Arabidopsis thaliana: one gene and its partners. The protein of the gene in region 1 interacts with the protein of each later gene in a pairwise test. Each region holds a gene or a part of one and is shown in the gene's direction. Other genes may lie near its edges.

Evidence for each region.
Region 2: the proteins of AP1 (region 1) and HB-7 interact in a two-hybrid assay, tested with the Arabidopsis thaliana proteins (one large-scale study listed by BioGRID).
Region 3: the proteins of AP1 (region 1) and AGL97 interact in a two-hybrid assay, tested with the Arabidopsis thaliana proteins (one large-scale study listed by BioGRID).
Region 4: the proteins of AP1 (region 1) and DBP1 interact in a two-hybrid assay, tested with the Arabidopsis thaliana proteins (one large-scale study listed by BioGRID).

Annotation. Positions count from the first base shown.
Region 1 is NC_003070.9:25,981,484-25,988,513, reverse strand, and holds AP1 (K-box region and MADS-box transcription factor family protein), read left to right. Parts: upstream 1-2,164; 5' UTR 2,165-2,411; coding exon 2,412-2,596; intron 2,597-3,576; exon of another isoform or gene 3,577-3,762; intron 3,763-3,938; coding exon 3,939-4,017; intron 4,018-4,117; coding exon 4,118-4,182; intron 4,183-4,275; coding exon 4,276-4,375; intron 4,376-4,606; coding exon 4,607-4,648; intron 4,649-4,734; coding exon 4,735-4,776; intron 4,777-5,255; coding exon 5,256-5,410; intron 5,411-5,578; coding exon of another isoform or gene 5,579-5,615; exon of another isoform or gene 5,616-5,835; coding exon 5,836-5,938; 3' UTR 5,939-6,220; downstream 6,221-7,030. UniProt on the Arabidopsis thaliana protein: Transcription factor that promotes early floral meristem identity in synergy with LEAFY. Is required subsequently for the transition of an inflorescence meristem into a floral meristem. Is indispensable for normal development of sepals and petals in flowers.
Region 2 is NC_003071.7:19,164,383-19,169,115, reverse strand, and holds HB-7 (homeobox 7), read left to right. Parts: upstream 1-2,148; 5' UTR 2,149-2,342; coding exon 2,343-2,702; intron 2,703-2,922; coding exon 2,923-3,339; 3' UTR 3,340-3,842; downstream 3,843-4,733. Other genes in the region: AT2G46670 (CCT motif family protein), read left to right, coding at 3,883-4,335, 4,429-4,527. UniProt on the Arabidopsis thaliana protein: Probable transcription activator that may act as growth regulators in response to water deficit.
Region 3 is NC_003070.9:17,231,208-17,235,069, reverse strand, and holds AGL97 (AGAMOUS-like 97), read left to right. Parts: upstream 1-2,118; 5' UTR 2,119-2,134; coding exon 2,135-2,935; downstream 2,936-3,862. UniProt on the Arabidopsis thaliana protein: Putative transcription factor.
Region 4 is NC_003071.7:10,902,216-10,907,638, reverse strand, and holds DBP1 (DNA-binding protein phosphatase 1), read left to right. Parts: upstream 1-2,371; 5' UTR 2,372-2,660; coding exon 2,661-2,843; intron 2,844-3,059; coding exon 3,060-3,266; intron 3,267-3,377; coding exon 3,378-3,589; intron 3,590-3,908; coding exon 3,909-4,485; 3' UTR 4,486-4,644; exon of another isoform or gene 4,645-4,762; 3' UTR 4,763-4,923; downstream 4,924-5,423. Other genes in the region: AT2G25625 (histone deacetylase-like protein), read right to left, coding at 540-897, 977-1,077; AT2G25610 (ATPase, F0/V0 complex, subunit C protein), read left to right, coding at 4,998-5,266, 5,354-5,423.

The DNA of each region.
Region 1 (7,030 bases):
AATATTCGAATTAAAAAAACTTACCTATAATTCACTTATTTAAAAACATAAAATAATAATAATTGCATCACCGTGATACAAAGCAACCTCACAAGTCACAACTCTCGTGACTACAAAGATCACTCATTAAACAAACCTTCCTGCCTTCTTTTTTTCTACTTGGGCACCTCGACCGATCGAAGACTATTCTTGGGATCTGCTTCAAAAACGACTATATGTTCTAAATCCACTTCGTATGATGACGAACATTTGGTTTACTACTGAAGATAGAGATTACGTCCTTCTAATTAGAAGTAATTAATTATTTTAGTATTTGGAAGCTAATGGTGGAGATGTAACCGTATCTTAGTGGATCGAGATATTGTATATAAAATATGTATGCTACATCGAATAATAAACTGAAAGAGAGTAAAAAGGGATATTTAATGGGAAGAAAAGAAGGGTGGAGATGTAACAAAGGCGAAGATAATGGATATTCTTGGGATGTTGTCTTCAAGGCCACGAGCTTAGATTCTTTTAGTTTTGCTCAATTTGTTAAGTTTCTACTTTTCCTTTTGTTGCTTACTACTTTTGCTCATGATCTCCATATACATATCATACATATATATAGTATACTATCTTTAGACTGATTTCTCTATACACTATCTTTTAACTTATGTATCGTTTCAAAACTCAGGACGTACATGTTTAAATTTGGTTATATAACCACGACCATTTCAAGTATATATGTCATACCATACCAGATTTAATATAACTTCTATGAAGAAAATACATAAAGTTGGATTAAAATGCAAGTGACATCTTTTTAGCATAGGTTCATTTGGCATAGAAGAAATATATAACTAAAAATGAACTTTAACTTAAATAGATTTTACTATATTACAATTTTTTCTTTTTACATGGTCTAATTTATTTTTCTAAAATTAGTATAATTGTTGTTTTGATGAAACAATAATACCGTAAGCAATAGTTGCTAAAAGATGTCCAAATATTTATAAATTACAAAGTAAATCAAATAAGGAAGAAGACACGTGGAAAACACCAAATAAGAGAAGAAATGGAAAAAACAGAAAGAAATTTTTTAACAAGAAAAATCAATTAGTCCTCAAACCTGAGATATTTAAAGTAATCAACTAAAACAGGAACACTTGACTAACAAAGAAATTTGAAACGTGGTCCAACTTTCACTTAATTATATTGTTTTCTCTAAGGCTTATGCAATATATGCCTTAAGCAAATGCCGAATCTGTTTTTTTTTTTTTTGTTATTGGATATTGACTGAAAATAAGGGGTTTTTTCACACTTGAAGATCTCAAAAGAGAAAACTATTACAACGGAAATTCATTGTAAAAGAAGTGATTAAGCAAATTGAGCAAAGGTTTTTATGTGGTTTATTTCATTATATGATTGACATCAAATTGTATATATATGGTTGTTTTATTTAACAATATATATGGATATAACGTACAAACTAAATATGTTTGATTGACGAAAAAAAATATATGTATGTTTGATTAACAACATAGCACATATTCAACTGATTTTTGTCCTGATCATCTACAACTTAATAAGAACACACAACATTGAACAAATCTTTGACAAAATACTATTTTTGGGTTTGAAATTTTGAATACTTACAATTATTCTTCTCGATCTTCCTCTCTTTCCTTAAATCCTGCGTACAAATCCGTCGACGCAATACATTACACAGTTGTCAATTGGTTCTCAGCTCTACCAAAAACATCTATTGCCAAAAGAAAGGTCTATTTGTACTTCACTGTTACAGCTGAGAACATTAAATATAATAAGCAAATTTGATAAAACAAAGGGTTCTCACCTTATTCCAAAAGAATAGTGTAAAATAGGGTAATAGAGAAATGTTAATAAAAGGAAATTAAAAATAGATATTTTGGTTGGTTCAGATTTTGTTTCGTAGATCTACAGGGAAATCTCCGCCGTCAATGCAAAGCGAAGGTGACACTTGGGGAAGGACCAGTGGTCCGTACAATGTTACTTACCCATTTCTCTTCACGAGACGTCGATAATCAAATTGTTTATTTTCATATTTTTAAGTCCGCAGTTTTATTAAAAAATCATGGACCCGACATTAGTACGAGATATACCAATGAGAAGTCGACACGCAAATCCTAAAGAAACCACTGTGGTTTTTGCAAACAAGAGAAACCAGCTTTAGCTTTTCCCTAAAACCACTCTTACCCAAATCTCTCCATAAATAAAGATCCCGAGACTCAAACACAAGTCTTTTTATAAAGGAAAGAAAGAAAAACTTTCCTAATTGGTTCATACCAAAGTCTGAGCTCTTCTTTATATCTCTCTTGTAGTTTCTTATTGGGGGTCTTTGTTTTGTTTGGTTCTTTTAGAGTAAGAAGTTTCTTAAAAAAGGATCAAAAATGGGAAGGGGTAGGGTTCAATTGAAGAGGATAGAGAACAAGATCAATAGACAAGTGACATTCTCGAAAAGAAGAGCTGGTCTTTTGAAGAAAGCTCATGAGATCTCTGTTCTCTGTGATGCTGAAGTTGCTCTTGTTGTCTTCTCCCATAAGGGAAAACTCTTCGAATACTCCACTGATTCTTGGTAACTTCAACTAATTCTTTACTTTTAAAAAAATCTTTTAATCTGCTACTTTATATAGTTTTTTCCCCCTTAAGTTGACTACTTGATTTGCCCTAATTATTCACTACTGCTTTTGTTTATATATTTTCTAGGGCTTCCATTTTTGGATTTTTTGATTAGCCAGAAAAATGTTTAATACAAATTTGTATAATTTAAAAATCAAAACTTTAGGGCCGTAGTGAAGTGAACCCTAGAACACACTAATTATACCATAGTAATTACCTTGATATATTGTGCAATATTTATCAGCATCATATCTTCAAACTCAAGAGCATATAGAAGGGTGTATGTTTAATCTTTGAACTAGGGTTTTGATCCCTAACTCATAATGAATTCTTTTGTTCTCCAATAGCCATGTCTTTCGAATTTGCAGATCTAAGCTCTAATTGATGCCATAGTAAGAAAATAAGATCTGTAGTTTTCACTCGCTCACTGAGTTCGAGTTTTAAATGAAGTGTCGTTTCTTTTTTCATATATAAGTTGCAACTGGATTATAATTAAAAAATATTATGGGACGAGAAAATAAATTAAAATAGATATAGATAATAATGTCAAATTGAGAATTTTTTATTAGAAAGAATATTTAACTTACGAGTTGTTTTTTTTCAGCTGTAAAAGAATATCTAATTTGTTCTCACGACTGTGTCTTCATGTTTTGCAAATCTAAGCAAAGAAAATGTTTAAACTCGGATCTTAAGATTATGAACTCGTAATATAAAACACTATATAGTATTAAATTTGAACTAGTGTTGCTTCTTTTTCTATTTGACTTTAGAAATTAAAACTGAAACAAAGATGTCAAATCTGAGTAGGGAGTCTTTGACCTCTGGGGATCCATAAAAAGAATTAACTCCATCCTAAAATCGGCTTCTTACCGATGGTCAAACTTAGCTCCAACAAGCAACAGCTGTTCTTCTTTTTTTTTTTTTCTTTTTTTTTTTAAGCATTGTCCTTGTTCTGAAAAAAAATAAGATTGGTAAATTGGCAAGATTATAATAATTTATTATAATGTGTCGCATCTAAGAAGATTTTCTGTACCTAATTGTAGCAAAATTAAAGAAACCGCAGTTAGAACTCGAAGCTAAGAGCATAGGGTCTATGATTCATACTGTTTTGTTATTATAAAGGTATCATAGAGATCGGTACTTGATTTGTTATAGGAAATCTTGGTTTAATTGCATAAAACCATCATTAGATTTATCCTAAAATGTGATGATATTTTGGTTACATCTCCATATTATTTATATAATAAAATGATAATTGGTTGATGATAAAGCTAACCCTAATTCTGTGAAATGATCAGTATGGAGAAGATACTTGAACGCTATGAGAGGTACTCTTACGCCGAAAGACAGCTTATTGCACCTGAGTCCGACGTCAATGTATTTCAATAAATATTTCTCCTTTTAATCCACATATATATTATATCAATCTATTTGTAGTATTGATGAATTTTATTTGTATAAAACTTCTGGTACACAGACAAACTGGTCGATGGAGTATAACAGGCTTAAGGCTAAGATTGAGCTTTTGGAGAGAAACCAGAGGTACACATTTACACTCATCACATTTCTATCTAGGAAATCGATCGGGTTCCATTTTAAAGTAAGTTAAAATTCATTGATGCTATTGAAATTCAGGCATTATCTTGGGGAAGACTTGCAAGCAATGAGCCCTAAAGAGCTTCAGAATCTGGAGCAGCAGCTTGACACTGCTCTTAAGCACATCCGCACTAGAAAAGTATTGCCTTCTGCTATTTCGTTGAACATATCTATATAACTTAAACGTTTACAAGTGTTATTATAATGTGAACATTGAAATACATATGTGTATGTATCAATATATATATCAGTAATCAATATCAATTTGATATGTCTATAGGTTGGTTCGAATGTATGAGTTATGTTGTGTATTTTAAGACTCATATTACTTAAAGTAATGGGTTGTTAATGTTGATGTGTGTGTATGCAGAACCAACTTATGTACGAGTCCATCAATGAGCTCCAAAAAAAGGTATGTAAAACCCCTATCAAATGTATGTCTTATAGAGAAACGTATAGGAAAGCTAATTAACAATCGTGCCGTTTCGGAAATGACAGGAGAAGGCCATACAGGAGCAAAACAGCATGCTTTCTAAACAGGTAACACATGTCATCATTTCTCTTTCATCAACATGTTGTCCATTGCATTACTGTTACCTTCCACTGTTCTGCTCCACACTTCCAGCCAAGCTATACCTACGATATCTTCATATCTCCACTTAACTTCGGCACCATTAAATAAAAATAGAAAATCTTTGCAAATTGTTTGAAATAGCATAGATGTTGTCTATTGATTGATATAATCACCAGCCTGTACGTAGATATGGTTTGTCCGTTTAGTTTTAAGGTTGTCTCTCGGATTGAAAATATTTGAAACTTTGAAATGTTGTCCCATCATTCTACTTAGCTCATATCTATGTATATGAATATAGACACTACTCCTAATTATAAAAATGTTATAATAGTTCATTGCATGAGTGCAACTGTGAAAATAACTATTTGTAACCATTGCATATATATAGTTTCTTCACTTTGAAAATTGATGATGATAATATGGTTTGAAATAAATTTGCTGGCAGATCAAGGAGAGGGAAAAAATTCTTAGGGCTCAACAGGAGCAGTGGGATCAGCAGAACCAAGGCCACAATATGCCTCCCCCTCTGCCACCGCAGCAGCACCAAATCCAGCATCCTTACATGCTCTCTCATCAGCCATCTCCTTTTCTCAACATGGGGTAACAAAAAATTACTAATCAGTCTTAATTTAAAGCACATATGTTATGCAAGCTAGTTACGTTAGGTGTTGTAATTTCATTGAAGTTATAGCTGTTAGTGATGGTTACATGATGTCATGATTTTGAAACTAGAAAACTTTATTTTAAAACATTATTTTATTAACGTAGGTTAATGCAATGGTCGCCAAACGAACAAACTTATTAGTGTGGAAAATGTACATGGAATGGTTGCGAAAAGCCTAAGTCGACTTTTTGTTGTTGTTGGTCTATGTGTTTAAGTACAATTTTAGTTTGTTAGATAAATGAAATTAATATATCTTTGACATTTCACAATGGACTGATATTTGATTTTCCTTTGTTGTACGGTGAAACATATGATTACATATGCACTTTCATATATATCCTATGTATGATTGTGAATGCAGTGGTCTGTATCAAGAAGATGATCCTATGGCAATGAGGAGGAATGATCTCGAACTGACTCTTGAACCCGTTTACAACTGCAACCTTGGCTGCTTCGCCGCATGAAGCATTTCCATATATATATTTGTAATCGTCAACAATAAAAACAGTTTGCCACATACATATAAATAGTGGCTAGGCTCTTTTCATCCAATTAATATATTTTGGCAAATGTTCGATGTTCTTATATCATCATATATAAATTAGCAGGCTCCTTTCTTCTTTTGTAATTTGATAAGTTTATTTGCTTCAATATGGAGCAAAATTGTAATATATTTGAAGGTCAGAGAGAATGAACGTGAACTTAATAGATCGGACCTTTTTTTTTTTTTGTTGCATTAAGTTAGGAGTGGCAAAATTTCTTATTATTTCAAGTTTACAACAAGCGAACTTGAGTGGTTGGGCCGTATTAATCGGAATAGAACCCAATTAGAATCAAGGAAGGATGTTGGCCTATAAAGGCCCAGAATTTGCTTCTAATTAGATAAGATAGGCAATAATAACAGTGCCTCCGAATGGATGAGGATCTGTAATGTAACACCCTGGTAGTCTCTCTGATACATTTGTTTGATTAGTGATCGAATAATTAGTGTGTATTGACTTGTTTCATGGAGCTAAGGACACGAGACTTACAGTAAAGGGACCAGTGAAAATGCCCACTAAGGTTCTTAAGATATATCACCACCAGAAAGGCACGTTGTGGTAAGCGTAACTCTCACATTATCTTCTCTTCATCTACATTCAGTAAAATGTTGCTAAACTCAAGAAAAGGCACGTTGTGGTAAGCGTAACTCTCACATTATCTTCTCTTCGTTGTATTCCTGCTAATTTTTTTAGAAAACAATTTCTGTATTAAACATTTTGGTAATTATATTGTTTGGTCTTCATGTTTCAGTTACTACAACTTTATATTTTTTGGTTCTTGAAGAAGTTTCCTTCTTTGGATAGAGGATTGTTGAAGAAGTCAACAGAGCAGAATTAAATGCATAATGAAGAGAATAGGAAAGCAAAGCATAATTTTGATTTTTGAGATAGTCAGATATATGAGTTATTAATTAATTCGTTTTGAGTATAGATAGAAATGACAGATATATAATTCCTTTTTATTAAGAAGTCACGCTTACAGAATAACAATATTGGTTCACATATATATTGTCA
Region 2 (4,733 bases), on another chromosome or scaffold:
CTGATAATCTAACATAAAAAGTCCTAATTAATTGTAAATATATCAAAAAATTAATGTCACACGCGGCAAGTCGAGGAGCTTGCAAATACAAACAAGCCAAGCCATCGTTTATTTAGTAATAAATTAAAATTATACTTTTTAAAAAAAGAAATGAAGAATTTGTCTTCTCCTACGGCTCTTCTCAGAAATTGCGATATACTAGTTAACCACGACACGTGTGTACTTTGCTGGGCCAAAATATTCAGGCACCACCACAGATCAACTGCCATGTCATCTCTTCTATCAACTTTGATGTCCCAAAGCATTGAACTCTCATCTCTGATTATAACACTTGGCTAGTTTTCGATGGCTGATTTTGATACTTTTTGATTGCCACTTTCTGATAAGTTCAATAAGACTTTAGAAATTGATCTCTTACGTTAAATTTTAGTTGGTACTTCTTTTTGGTTTAATTTTAGTTGATACTTGATAGATATAATTTCGAATTATGTTTTTTTTTACAAATATCAGATTTAATTATTAAAAAAAGAATATTAGGGTTTGAAAATATCTTATCTAGATGGCCCAATTTAATATTTTTGCTTGTATTAATTAGTCAAAAGAAATTTCCGACAAGCAAGGTGAACGTAAACCTTAAACTAATCAGGAAAGCAAGAATTAAAGTTGCTTTTCACATTAATACTAATATTGTTAAATTGTTATCGCTATCGTGAAGAAAATAAAGTCTAGGGAATCTGCCTCAAATATGGTTTCCCTGTTGGCAAAAATTTAACTTGCTTCCATTCAAATGATGAAATGTTACGAAAAATTAGCCTTTTGTCTTTGGAGTAATGTTTGTTAAATAATCACGAGGCATTCATTCTTAAAATACCATAACATTTATAGAGGTTTGAAGTACCATAATTTGTAAAACTAAACTAGAGAAATTTTGCGAAATCAGTTGTATGAAGACTTTCTTAAAAATAACGTTATATAGACTCTAGAAAAAAACTATTATATGCCATTTCTATTTAGTTTTTTTTTCTAAAAATATATATAAATATGGTGTTGTTAACATAAAAACAGAAAAAAAGAAAAATTTAGAAAATTTTCTCAAGAATCATTATATCTGTGATTTATCATATAAGTTCAAATATGATATTAGAAACAAATAGTTTACGAGTATAATAGTATTGTCAATTTTTCAATCTGAAGTAAATATCTTTTTGTAAGGAAGGGGTCAACAAATGATCACAACAGAGTTGGCAAAAAGTTATCAAATCGCATGCACGGAAGTTTTACGTGTGGTGAAGGTAAACTTGTATTACACTTATCTATAAAAATTAGTTTAGGCTTTGATTCTAAATCAAATCTCCGATTAGAAAAAATTGCGTAAGCAAATAGCTGGAAAAAATTGTATCCCATCATACTTAAGTCACAATGTTTTGTTTTTGAGATTTGTGATGTAATCAATATATGTTTTACAATGCAAGTATAATAATATTAAAGTCACATTCTAAGAAAATTATGATTTGTGTCATACGTATACAAAAACACCCGTCACACATCCTGACTTCTGAACGTTAAATCTGTCGCACACAATCATAAAAATTTAAAAATTCACCAGAGATGTACTGAAAAGAATATAATTAATCACATGATGATATATGCATAGGAGATGAGGATTATTCATTTTCTGAAATTCCCTATATGAACCATTATAATTGTTTAGTAATCAGTTCAGAAATGCTAATCATTATATGAACCATTATAATTCCCTTCATTTTTATTTAAGATCCACTTAACAGGATTTGTTAATATGCACCCACATCACTAAATACATTGGTACGCAACCGTTGTTCCATTTCCATTTTCACATCGACCAGAATGTTTACTATGCGGTAAATTGTGTAGTATGCAGATTTTTTTGTATCATTTAATTTTCTAACACTTGTTAAGTCGAAACTAATTTTGTCACAAGTAAAAGAAATAAAAAAGGTGGAAATTATTAATCAGTAGTTAGATGATTAGTTTCGAGTTGAAATGAAACTCGACTTAACAAGTGATAGCGACGACTCTAGAAACAGCCAAAATCCGCCCTATTGCTACCTGTCGACCCACAAATCGTTTACTCAAAAATGAATAAAAAATTTACGATAAAGCAAACCCAAAGTTATATCTTATTATATGCTAAGGAGCCCTCCCAAAAAAGAACAACAAATCACATTTTTATATAACTGTTAACATAATAATCTCAGCCTCATCAACACACATATATAGATAGCCAACATCACACAAACATAGAGATTCCAAAAAATAAAAATAAAGAAAACATAAATCCTCTGAGGAAAAATTCCGATGAGATGACAGAAGGTGGAGAATATTCTCCGGCGATGATGTCAGCAGAGCCATTCTTGACCATGAAGAAGATGAAGAAGAGCAACCACAACAAGAACAATCAGAGAAGGTTTAGCGACGAGCAGATCAAGTCACTGGAGATGATGTTTGAGTCTGAGACAAGGCTTGAGCCAAGGAAGAAGGTTCAATTAGCTAGAGAGCTAGGGTTGCAGCCGAGGCAAGTGGCTATATGGTTTCAGAACAAGAGGGCTCGTTGGAAATCCAAGCAGCTCGAGACTGAGTACAACATTCTCAGACAAAACTACGACAACTTGGCTTCTCAGTTCGAGTCCTTAAAGAAAGAAAAACAAGCTTTAGTCTCTGAGGTATGTTCTAAACTCTGTTTATTCTTACATGGTTAGTTAAAATCTGTGTATTTTGTGGTTGTATACTGAAAAACTGTGGTTTTAAATATGTGATAAAATATGTGCTTTAGTGGTTATATTGCAATTAAGGACTGATTAGGTGATCAAGAAAAACTCTGTTTTGATGGTTTATTGAAGGAGAGAATAGATTGTTGATGAGTTGTTTTATACCTTTATGTAGTTGCAGAGGCTAAAAGAGGCGACGCAAAAGAAGACACAGGAGGAGGAAAGGCAGTGTAGTGGAGATCAAGCGGTGGTTGCTCTAAGCAGCACACATCATGAATCAGAAAACGAAGAGAACCGGAGGCGTAAACCGGAAGAGGTTAGACCGGAGATGGAGATGAAAGATGATAAGGGTCATCATGGGGTTATGTGTGATCATCATGATTATGAAGATGATGATAATGGTTATAGTAACAACATCAAGAGAGAGTATTTTGGTGGGTTTGAGGAAGAACCAGATCACTTAATGAACATTGTTGAACCAGCTGATAGTTGTTTGACATCATCTGATGATTGGAGAGGTTTCAAATCAGATACTACTACTCTCTTGGACCAATCCAGCAACAATTACCCTTGGCGGGATTTTTGGTCATGAAAACAATAAACTCTAAACAAGAAGATGAAACAGATTGAGACTAAAGATTGGATATATACATATTCAAATCGAAATTTACCGGTCTACATCGCATGAACCGAGCCACGGATATAGAGATATTCGGTCCAGCAAATGACTCGTTTCTCAGCGAGAATTTTGCAGGATTTTGAGCTGAAATTGTATGGTTTTGTCTGTATAAATGATGTGTTTAGAAAGACGTATATTCTCAGTTCGTGTTTGTAATTCTGTTTTTAAGTAGTAAGTACTCGTCATGCTTTGTAGCTAAGTAGTAAGTTTAAGACTAAATTTGGATGAATAAAAATCAAAAGCAGGAGAAATCATATATATAAAGTGTTATGCATTAATATGTAAAAGATCAAGAAGAGAACTAAGTTGGTGAGAAGAAACTGATATTAGGAACACGAAAAGAACCATGAAACCCAAGTTAACATCTTCTTGACTCGGAAGATTTAAGGAGAAACTTTGTTTTTTTCTCAACAAAAGCAGAGTATCAAAACAGAGTCAGTCAATTCGCAAATTCTTATGTATTTAACTTGCAGATTTGAGGAAAGCAAGTCAGCAGAAAAAGCCGTCGTTGCTTTAGAGGAGAGTACTTCAGGTGAGCCAAAGACACCAACCGAATCACATGAAAAGTTGAGAAAAGTAAGATCTGATCAAGGAAGCTCCACAACGAGCAGCAACCAGGAGAATATCGGATCATCAAGCGTAAGCTTCCGTAACCAAGTTCTTCAGTCCACAGTAACGAATCAGAAGCAAGATTCACCCATACCGGTAGAATCAAATCGCGAGAAAGCAGCTAGCAAGGAAGTAGAAGCTGGTTCTCAAAGCACCAATGAGGGGATTGCTGGACAAAGCAGTAGCACAGAGAAACCAAAGGAAGAAGAAAGTGCGAAACAACGTTGGAGTAGAAGCCAGAGAGAAGCTGCATTGATGAAGTTCCGGTTGAAGAGGAAAGATCGATGCTTTGACAAAAAGGTAAGAGACACACAAGCTTCATCATAAAAACAGCATCTGAAACAAATACAAGATCAAACTGATTCAATGGAGATGTATAAAAATGGATTACAGGTTCGGTACCAGAGCAGGAAGAAGCTAGCAGAACAACGTCCTCGAGTGAAAGGCCAGTTCGTGCGAACCGTGAATTCAGACGCGTCTACAAAATCATGAAGAGCTCTTTCAGTTTTTCCTCTGATTTCTTTTGTTGATTTTATAACAGAAACTTATTTAGCTTTTGCAATCTTTAGTGTGCTTTTTTTTTTTATGTATTTGATTGGCTTCTTCTTCTCAGCTAATATGAGATACTGGGGCAACTTTTGTATATATGTCTGCAAATGATCAGGCTAAGCTAAAACAGTAATTCCAATTTCGTTAAG
Region 3 (3,862 bases), 8.8 Mb from region 1:
GCCCAAGTATGTTTAGTTAAAGAGTGTTGTGTTGTAAGTCTAAGTTAGAGTAGAAGAGTGAATCAAGGAGTGAGAGTTCCAATGTATGTAGAAGTAGGTCTTGTGTAAGAGCCATCATTAGGTCTAAGTGCAAGTGTGCAAGTGTGTGTGTGTCTCAAGTAGAAGTAGTTTATGTATGTGTGTCCTTGTGTTGTGTAAGAGTAACCAAGTAATTAACAATGTAGTCTTTGGAGGAAAACGCTTTTGTGTCTCTCTAGAACAAAGAATAAAATCTGTGTGAGAGACAAGAGAGCAAGAGATCTAACTAAAGTGGTTAGATATGTGAGAATTACAACACAATGTCATATATGTATACATCAGAATATTAAACCTACAAAACAAAAGTAGCTCTGGAAATCTCAATAATGTAGTCTCTTAGAAGGATCCACAAAGGCCACAGAGAAGAAAACATAATGCTTAATAACAAAGATGAACAATGTGGATTTTGCCAGAATATTTATGGCTGTGAGCTTGTTTCTTCAAGAAGTCTCTACCTTTTAACTTCTCAAAAATCAAGTTTCTTAAACAAGTCTTCAATGCTGAGGATGTCACAGAAGAAGTCTTCAACAAACCTGTAGCCATGTTTTGATCACAGAAGAATCAGTACTTATATGTTTCTAATTGATACAAGATTCTTCTCCAGCAAAACCCTGATTTCTTCTTCCAAATCTCACTTGTTCTTCTTTCAGAATCTTCCATACGAATCTTTGATTCTGTTGTAATTCTCACAATCTCTCTATTTCTCACACTCCTTTACGGTTTCATTGTCTTTAGAGAGAAAGAACAAAAACTATTTTCTTTTAATCTTCTACTTTGATAATATTCTTGGATACTCTTACACAACACAAACAACACATACATATAGTGGTTTTGCTCCACTTGGTAGACTACACACACTTAGACTCTAGACCACATCATTGTCCTAAGACTTACATCATCCACTCTACTATGTTGGAACTCCAACACCTTAATTCACTCTCTTAGTTTACTTTAGTTGTCACAACCTCTTCTTGTTGGACCTTAACTAGACAACTTGTACAAAACACTTATTCGTATGGGCCTTATCTCATTACCTATGACCCAACACACAAAACACAAACCCATTTGGTTTGTTGACTTTCTTCTCTTCCTTTGACTCCTCTCTTCACGACGTCTCTTCTCCGCCATCGTCTTCTTCTTCCGTTGCTTCTTCCTTTGTTCTTCATCTTCTTCTTCTCACCAAGCTTGTTATTCTTGTAGGATTTAGTTTAGGATACTCAATTCCAACAGATTCTCGTAATCTCCATATCTAGATCCTCTTCCGAATCCGTAATCACCAATTCACCATTATCAACCAAAAGCTTGAGTTTTTGTTGTGTATCGGACATTGATTCACCAGCATAAAACAGAGATTCCATACTAGGGTTTGAGATTGTATTCTTCAATACTGTGTCGTCTTCTTCTTCCTCACAAAGTTTGCAATTTTGGTTTTTGGATTCGTAACGGTCACAAAGAGAAGAAGAGAGGCTCCTAAATATTTTGTTGTATTGACGCTTTTACCCTTCATAACGGTCTTATTTTATTGACCGTTGACCAAACCGGTTAAAGGAAGAATTTGCATGTTGGTTTACTCGTCCTCCTTCGCTTATTAGACAATCAGTAGTAAACAAATTCACCGACTAAACCAAAAATTCCACTAAATACAGATTCGGTTTAACTAAACCGGTCTTTGTTTGTATTAGATGGTTTTGAGTAATTTACTTTTAGAAAAGGAAACAGTTTTAATTTTTCGTTTAATTACCGATTAGGGTATTATCAGTAAAAAAGGAAATCAAAATCGATGTTGTTTCAGGTGGTTTTGTGTACTAATTACTTTCAAAAAAGGAAAACAAGTTTATTTAGTCGTTTAATTACTGATTAGCAATTATCAGAAAAAGGAAATAACATGGATTAATTAGAAAACGAGTTAGGGCTACTAAGTCTATATATATATCTATCTGATTAGAACGAGAGTGAGTCCATTATCATATTCTTCTTTCGCAACAAGCGGCAGCACACAAAACTCTCAAGTCTTGTCTCGTTCTCTTTTGTTTGTGAAACTGAGAAAAAAAACAGAATGGGTGGCGTGAAGAGGAAGATTGCTATAGAGAAGATACAGAACAAAAATCCACGAGCGGTTTCATTCTCCAAACGTCGTAAGGGTCTGTATAGCAAAGCTTCTGAACTTTGTCTTCTCTCGGACGCAGAGATTGCGATCATAGCGACTCCTGTTTCTTCTAATTCCAACGCCGCTTTCTACAGTTTTGGCCACTCCTCTGTTGATAATGTCGTCGCTGCTTTTCTCGCCAATCAGCGTCCTTGTGATGAAAGGTTTTGGTGGGAAGATGAGAGTCTTCTAAAATCAGAGAATCTGGAGGAGTTGAGAGAGGCGATGGATTCAATGTCGACTATGTTGCGAGATCTCAAGGAGTTGGAGAAGCAAAGAGATCATCAAACGCAAACCCTAATTCATCAGCCGTGTTCTGCAAGGGTTTGCATTCAAGATTATGTAACTGTGAATTTCGATGGGTTTAACACGGAAGAGCAAACCCTAGCGGTTTCTGACAATAGTAACAACAACGGTTTACTTGGAAACTTGGATGAGTGCAATGAAGATTTTGATGATCTCGATCAAATCTTCGATACGGTGACAAACTCTGAATTTTTATCGGTGAATTTGGAGATGGATGATGTAACTGTGAATTCTGAAGGGAACACGGAAGAGCAAACCCTAGCGGTTTCTGACAATAGCAACAACAACGGTTTACTTGGAAACTTGGATGAGTGCAATGAAGATTTTGATGATCTCGATCAAATCATTGAGTATTTGACAAGCTCTGAAGCTTTATCCATGAATTTAAAGATGGATGATGTCTGATGCATGCCTCTATGGTGACAATTTGTGTTTATGTTGAAATTGGATCCTTGATTTAAGTATTGCTTCGGTTTAGTATATCTTTGTATGTCTTTTATCAGCTTATGACTTTATTTGATCTGCGTGATATTTTCGTATATCTAACCAAAACATAAGAGCATCCCCAACCACAATACACCAAATTTTAACACCAAATTTGATATTTTGGTGTTTCAATTGTTTTATCATCTCCAACCATAACACCAATTTCACACTAAAAATATTACTTTTTATTATAATATTATTAAACTTAAGATTTTCTTTATTTTTTTAATAGTTTGATATACATAACATATTTCATAACTAAATTATTTTAACTTAATTAATATAAGATTACAATCGATAAATTGAAAATAACAAAAAAAAATTACATTGTACTAATTCTCAGAATTAGTATATACGGACCACAAGTGTTCAATTAATGCATTTCGAAGTTTAATATGAGCTTCACGGTCTTTGATTTTCCTGTGTCGAGCTAAAAATTCTTGAAATCGACCATCATCGATCGTCTCCCGCCGTTTCATCTTCTAGAGTTGGGACCTCGGCTCTTTCTTCAATACTTGCATCAAAATCACGTTCATCCTCTATGTCATATTATGCATTATGATACAAGTAGTTATAATATCATGTAACACTTTCTTACTCCATAAACGTGTTGGTCCAGCCACAATTGCAAAATCTGAGATCTTTCATAGTCAACCAAGACCAAAAAGATCTTTACAAACTCGAATGACAACGATTCTTTCTGCTGTCTCCAAGCTAAGAGGATGTGTAACCAGATTGAAAACAAGAATCCTAGCGGTGCTTCCGAGCATGACATTGTAAGTATACATACTTGAGTTAGTTGTTCATGCTCTACCATTATTAATTTATTTTACTTGCTAATTTTCA
Region 4 (5,423 bases), on another chromosome or scaffold:
GTAGAGTTGTAGTTAAACTTTGAAATACGAGGCCGAAATCAAACTAATCGTTGGAGTGACATAGAGTTGGGCTTCACTTTGGATCGATAATAGGCCAACTCATTTCAGTAGGAAGTACTTGGAGTGTTTTTCTTTTGTACTACACGCATGTACTACTTTTCTTTCATTTCACATCCAATAGAGTACTACTTTAACACACAAAGCTGAAAACTCCCAAAATTTGGTAGGATACAAGATTACAAAACAAAGAAAAAAAGGACGGACCAAAACTAATCGTGCACATAAAGATCTCAATGAATTTAATGAGTTAATTATTTTTATACGGTTCGATTTAAACCAAAAATCAAAAATGGCATCCTCAAAGAAAATTTTGCATGAATTAAAGACCAGTTTGGTTCAATGTTTTGTCATCAGTAACTACACAAACAAATACTTAAAATTTAATATATCTACAATAGTTTTTGTGTGTATTATTTGTTTCTAATTGACTTTTTTTACACCTGCCTAACAATCTCCCTTACACGTAATGAACTTCCAATTTACACGGAGAAACAACCACCCCTGTTGACACGTGTCATCACCACACCGACCGGCGGTGCATCACCCTTAGCTAATCCGGCTAACTCCAAACGTCGATGAGCAGACGGACGAGGAAGATTCTCCGGTACGATGGTCTCTAGCGAGTTCTCAAGCCAAGGCGGACACGTCCTCTTGTCACTCCACCTCCGCGGCGGCACCACACCCGCAGCCATCTCTTCTACCGGCGATTTCACAACCGCAGCTTCCACTGATGCAACATCATTGATCTGAATCCCGCCGATTACGACAGTTGCCGCCACCCCCAAGACAAAAGAACACTTGTTTTTCCGTGGCTCTGTCTCATTTTCTGTTCTCCTACTAAACAATAAAAGAACAAAGATCATTGATATGAAAAATTATCAGGTAAATAATAACTTTTCATGAATAGAAGAGATACCAAGAGATCTTTGACGTTGTCTTGAGCAGTGAAGCTAATGATTGTGCAGAATTTGAATCTAGGGGAGGAAGATTTAGACAGCAGCTTATTCTCCCTGCCATTGTTATTCCTCTGTTTTCGTTTCCTTCTTTTTCTTAAGAATCCACCTAGAACAAATTTTATTTTATTCCTTTCACCTCCAACATATATATAACTACTAACCCATTCTTACTTGGGTCACTCATTTTTTCTTACTATATATGTATCCTCAAATTATTACATTTCATATGCGCATGCAATACAAACCACATCTAAATTTTTCTTCCAATATGTTCTTTCTCTATACTTAACTAAAGCCCAAAGAATGAACTTAACCTAGAAAAGATGGACTTGACCCAATAGCATTGGTCCGTTGGAGATGTTAGGTCCATACTCCATACAAAGACAAATTGAACAAAAGTCGTGAATCTGTTTGCTACGTCTGAATAACAACGTACACGTATCACGCCTTGCGAACAAATTATTTGACAATGATGGCCAATTAGCATGTGTCATCACTTGTTACCACGTCAACAAGGTTCTTGTCGGTCCGTTTAATTAATAGTAACCATCGTTTTCAGGAAAAAAATCCACATAAAAAGTTTCTAATGGCGAAACAATATTCAAATATTTCCTAACAACTACCATGAGACTGATTCTTTTTCTCTTCCGAAAAATTAATGAGACTGAGTCCTAATTTTTCTTATAGTTAATTTGGTGACCATCAAAGAATGTAAAAGTATTTAGGAAACAGCACAAATAATCTGGCAATTACGGTCTACAACATGTTTATTTACTTATTTTTAAATTATAGAAAAATTTAATATTTTAATATCTTATATTTAATGCCCTAAATAACACTAAATCACACATATAAATAGCAGAGATATAAATATAGAAAAACATTCCAAGCATTTTTCAGTACTTAACATTTATACAGAAAAACAATTAAACATTTTTCAGCACTTAATAATTAACATATGTGAGAAATTCATAAACTCTATTAAATATTCATGAAAATAATGTATTTTTAATTTTATAAGTAATATCTCATGTGTCGACTTTTTTTATATAAAAAAGATGTAAAAAAGGTCCCAAGTTACTAAAATTCAATTTTGTCAACTTAACTCAAAATCTTTTTGCTATTAGTCTAAAATTTCAGATTTCCTTTCTTGCTATTTTTCAAAATACTATGTTTACTTCTCATATAAACTGTAAATATATCCCTTTTTTAATAAGAAAAAAAATCTCTCACTTCAAAAACAAAAAGGAAAAAAAAAAGCAAAGAGAAAAAGTAAATAATACGCCGACGTTTCGTGTTTATGTTAAGCTTCCTTTTTCCTTTTTCCTTTTTCTTTTTGCCTTTTAAATAACCGTCGGACTCATATTTCTCGCCTCCGCCGGCGAACAGTTTTATTATCTCTCTCTTTCTGCGTGTTCCAATTTCTTCCACAAAACCCTAATTTTCTCTTAAACCCTGAAATTCGTGTAACCTTTCAACAATCTCTTCAATTTTGTTTTCGATTCTGAATCCATTGTTTACGAATCTCTCATCTAAAGCTACATTCTTCGTTAAATCGTTTTTAATCGACTCGCTCACTCGTGAGTTGACTCGTCAGCTGTTTCCATAATTGCTTATTGAATTTTTATACGATGATGTTTCAATATGGAAGAAACTAGAGGAATTTCTGATCCAGAGAATGGGAGTTCGAGTTACGGCGGTAAACCGCCGAATCCACTCTCCTTCTCTTCTTCCTCCGCCGCTGCTGCCGTTTACAGGCAAACCTTCGACGGCGAGCGATCGTTGGCGCCGTGTAATAAGAGGTCACTGGTTCGACACTCATCTCTCGTAAGATTCGTTTCTCTTCAACTTGATTTGTGGATCAGTTAGGTTTATTTTGTGTATTGAATGATCAATTTAAGTTGAGGTTTTGTAATTATTGCTCTGCTTTTGGATTTGATCATTATTGGTTTCCTAATGTGTATAATTAAGGTAGAAAGTTTCTGTTTTTAATGTGTCATTATGAGATGTTTGAGGTTTTCTGATTGATTTTCATTTTGGTAGGTGAAGACAATGGTGTCAGATATATCTGTTGAGAATGAGTTTACTATAGAGAAGAACAAGTCTGAGTTTGTTCCTGCTACGCGTTCTGGAGCTTGGTCTGATATTGGCTCCAGGTCAAGCATGGAAGATGCTTATCTATGCGTTGATAATTTCATGGATAGCTTTGGCCTTCTGAATTCTGAGGCTGGTCCAAGTGCCTTCTATGGGGTATGTTCTTTCTTCAGTTTTCCTGATTTTTTGTAGATTTGTAGCATAAGCAAACAACTGTGAATGTAGTGAAAATATGGGGATCTCTTATTGAATTTTGTTTGTTATTAGGTATTTGATGGACATGGTGGGAAGCATGCCGCTGAGTTTGCATGTCACCATATACCGAGGTACATTGTTGAAGATCAAGAGTTTCCTAGTGAAATCAATAAGGTGTTATCTTCAGCATTTCTTCAAACAGACACTGCCTTCTTAGAGGCGTGTTCATTGGATGGGAGCCTTGCTTCAGGAACTACTGCTTTGGCAGCTATTCTTTTTGGAAGGTTTGTTGATTCAACTCTTATTATCTTTTAGTTTTGTCTAACCTAAACTCTTACATCTTGGTTATGTTAAAGAAAAACGTGTTTGGGAATAGATGCTTATCCTCAACTGCGTAGTGTGCATAATCTTGACCTTTAACACAATCATGTACAACTAATTCGCCTGTAGATGTATTCTCTGCCCATATGTGCTGCTGCTATAATGTAGTTATTGTCTCATATGGTCTTTGAGTCACGTATATACTTGCTCATTTCATACTCTATTAGTATTCTGGTATGAAACCGTTTGGTACCGTGTTAACATATAGTTTTGTGGTAACAGGTCGTTGGTGGTAGCAAACGCTGGAGATTGCAGAGCAGTCTTATCCCGTCAGGGAAAAGCCATTGAAATGTCAAGAGACCACAAACCCATGAGCAGTAAGGAAAGGAGACGCATTGAAGCATCGGGTGGACATGTATTCGATGGCTATCTAAATGGACAACTTAATGTGGCTCGAGCGCTAGGTGACTTTCATATGGAAGGCATGAAGAAGAAGAAAGATGGTTCTGATTGTGGACCTCTAATTGCAGAGCCTGAGCTCATGACAACAAAACTAACAGAAGAGGATGAGTTCCTTATAATTGGGTGTGACGGGGTTTGGGATGTGTTCATGAGCCAGAATGCTGTAGATTTTGCCAGAAGGAGACTACAGGAGCACAATGACCCGGTCATGTGTAGTAAGGAGCTGGTTGAGGAAGCTTTGAAGAGGAAGAGTGCTGATAATGTGACGGCAGTGGTTGTGTGTCTTCAGCCACAGCCACCACCGAACTTGGTAGCGCCGAGGTTGAGAGTTCACAGAAGCTTCTCGGCGGAGGGTTTAAAAGATTTACAGAGCTACTTGGATGGCTTGGGAAACTAATTGGGGGACATGAGGATGGTGACGAATGATTGATTTCTCTGTTTTTGTTTTGTCTTTTCTTACAATTTTATAGTTTGGGGTTTGGAGGTTTTGTTCTGTTAAATTCTCGCAATTTGAGTAAGTTATAACATGAGGCGGCATACAATAATTTATTGTTTGGTAGGATATATTTTTTTGTCACTTTTGCATAATAATAATTCTGCTTCAGTCTCATTTGTTTTGTAACTAGAAAGTTATTCCAATTCCTGCGTTTACCGAATATGTTGTGTTCTTGCAGAATGACGTATGTTAGATATGCAGTAAACTCGAGGGTCGGCTTTGACCACATCGCCACTTATCGGTTTGCGGATGCTGGAAAAGTCAGTCTAGTGATGAGGCTGAGTGAGCCATCGTCAGTTACTATTTTATCGTGAAACTCTGAACAACGAGATTGTCCCGGATATTCAAATGAGGAACAAGGCCCAATAGTCCGATCAAAGTGGGCTATTCGTATCGCTTACGAGGCCTATACGATGGTAATTGAATTCACGCGCATTCATCAGCGCGTGATTTGGAGTTGCTCAATTTCAGATCGCACAGGCTCTGTTAATCATCTCCTCCTCCGAAAGACAGAGAAAGAGACAAATCAAATTCATTCATATCAAAGAGATAGAGAGAAAATGTCCGGTGTGGCTATTCATGCGAGTTCATGGGGCGCGGCTCTGGTGAGAATCTCCCCGTACACTTTCTCCGCCATCGGAATCGCCATCTCCATCGGCGTCTCTGTTCTTGGTGCTGCCTGGTATAAATCCTTTTCTTCTTCTCCCCATTGATTTGCGAAATCATCATGCTTACGAAAACTATTTTGCTCTCTCTCTTTATGGTTTAGGGGAATTTACATTACCGGAAGTAGTTTGATCGGTGCCGCCATTGAAGCTCCTCGAATCACTTCCAAGAAT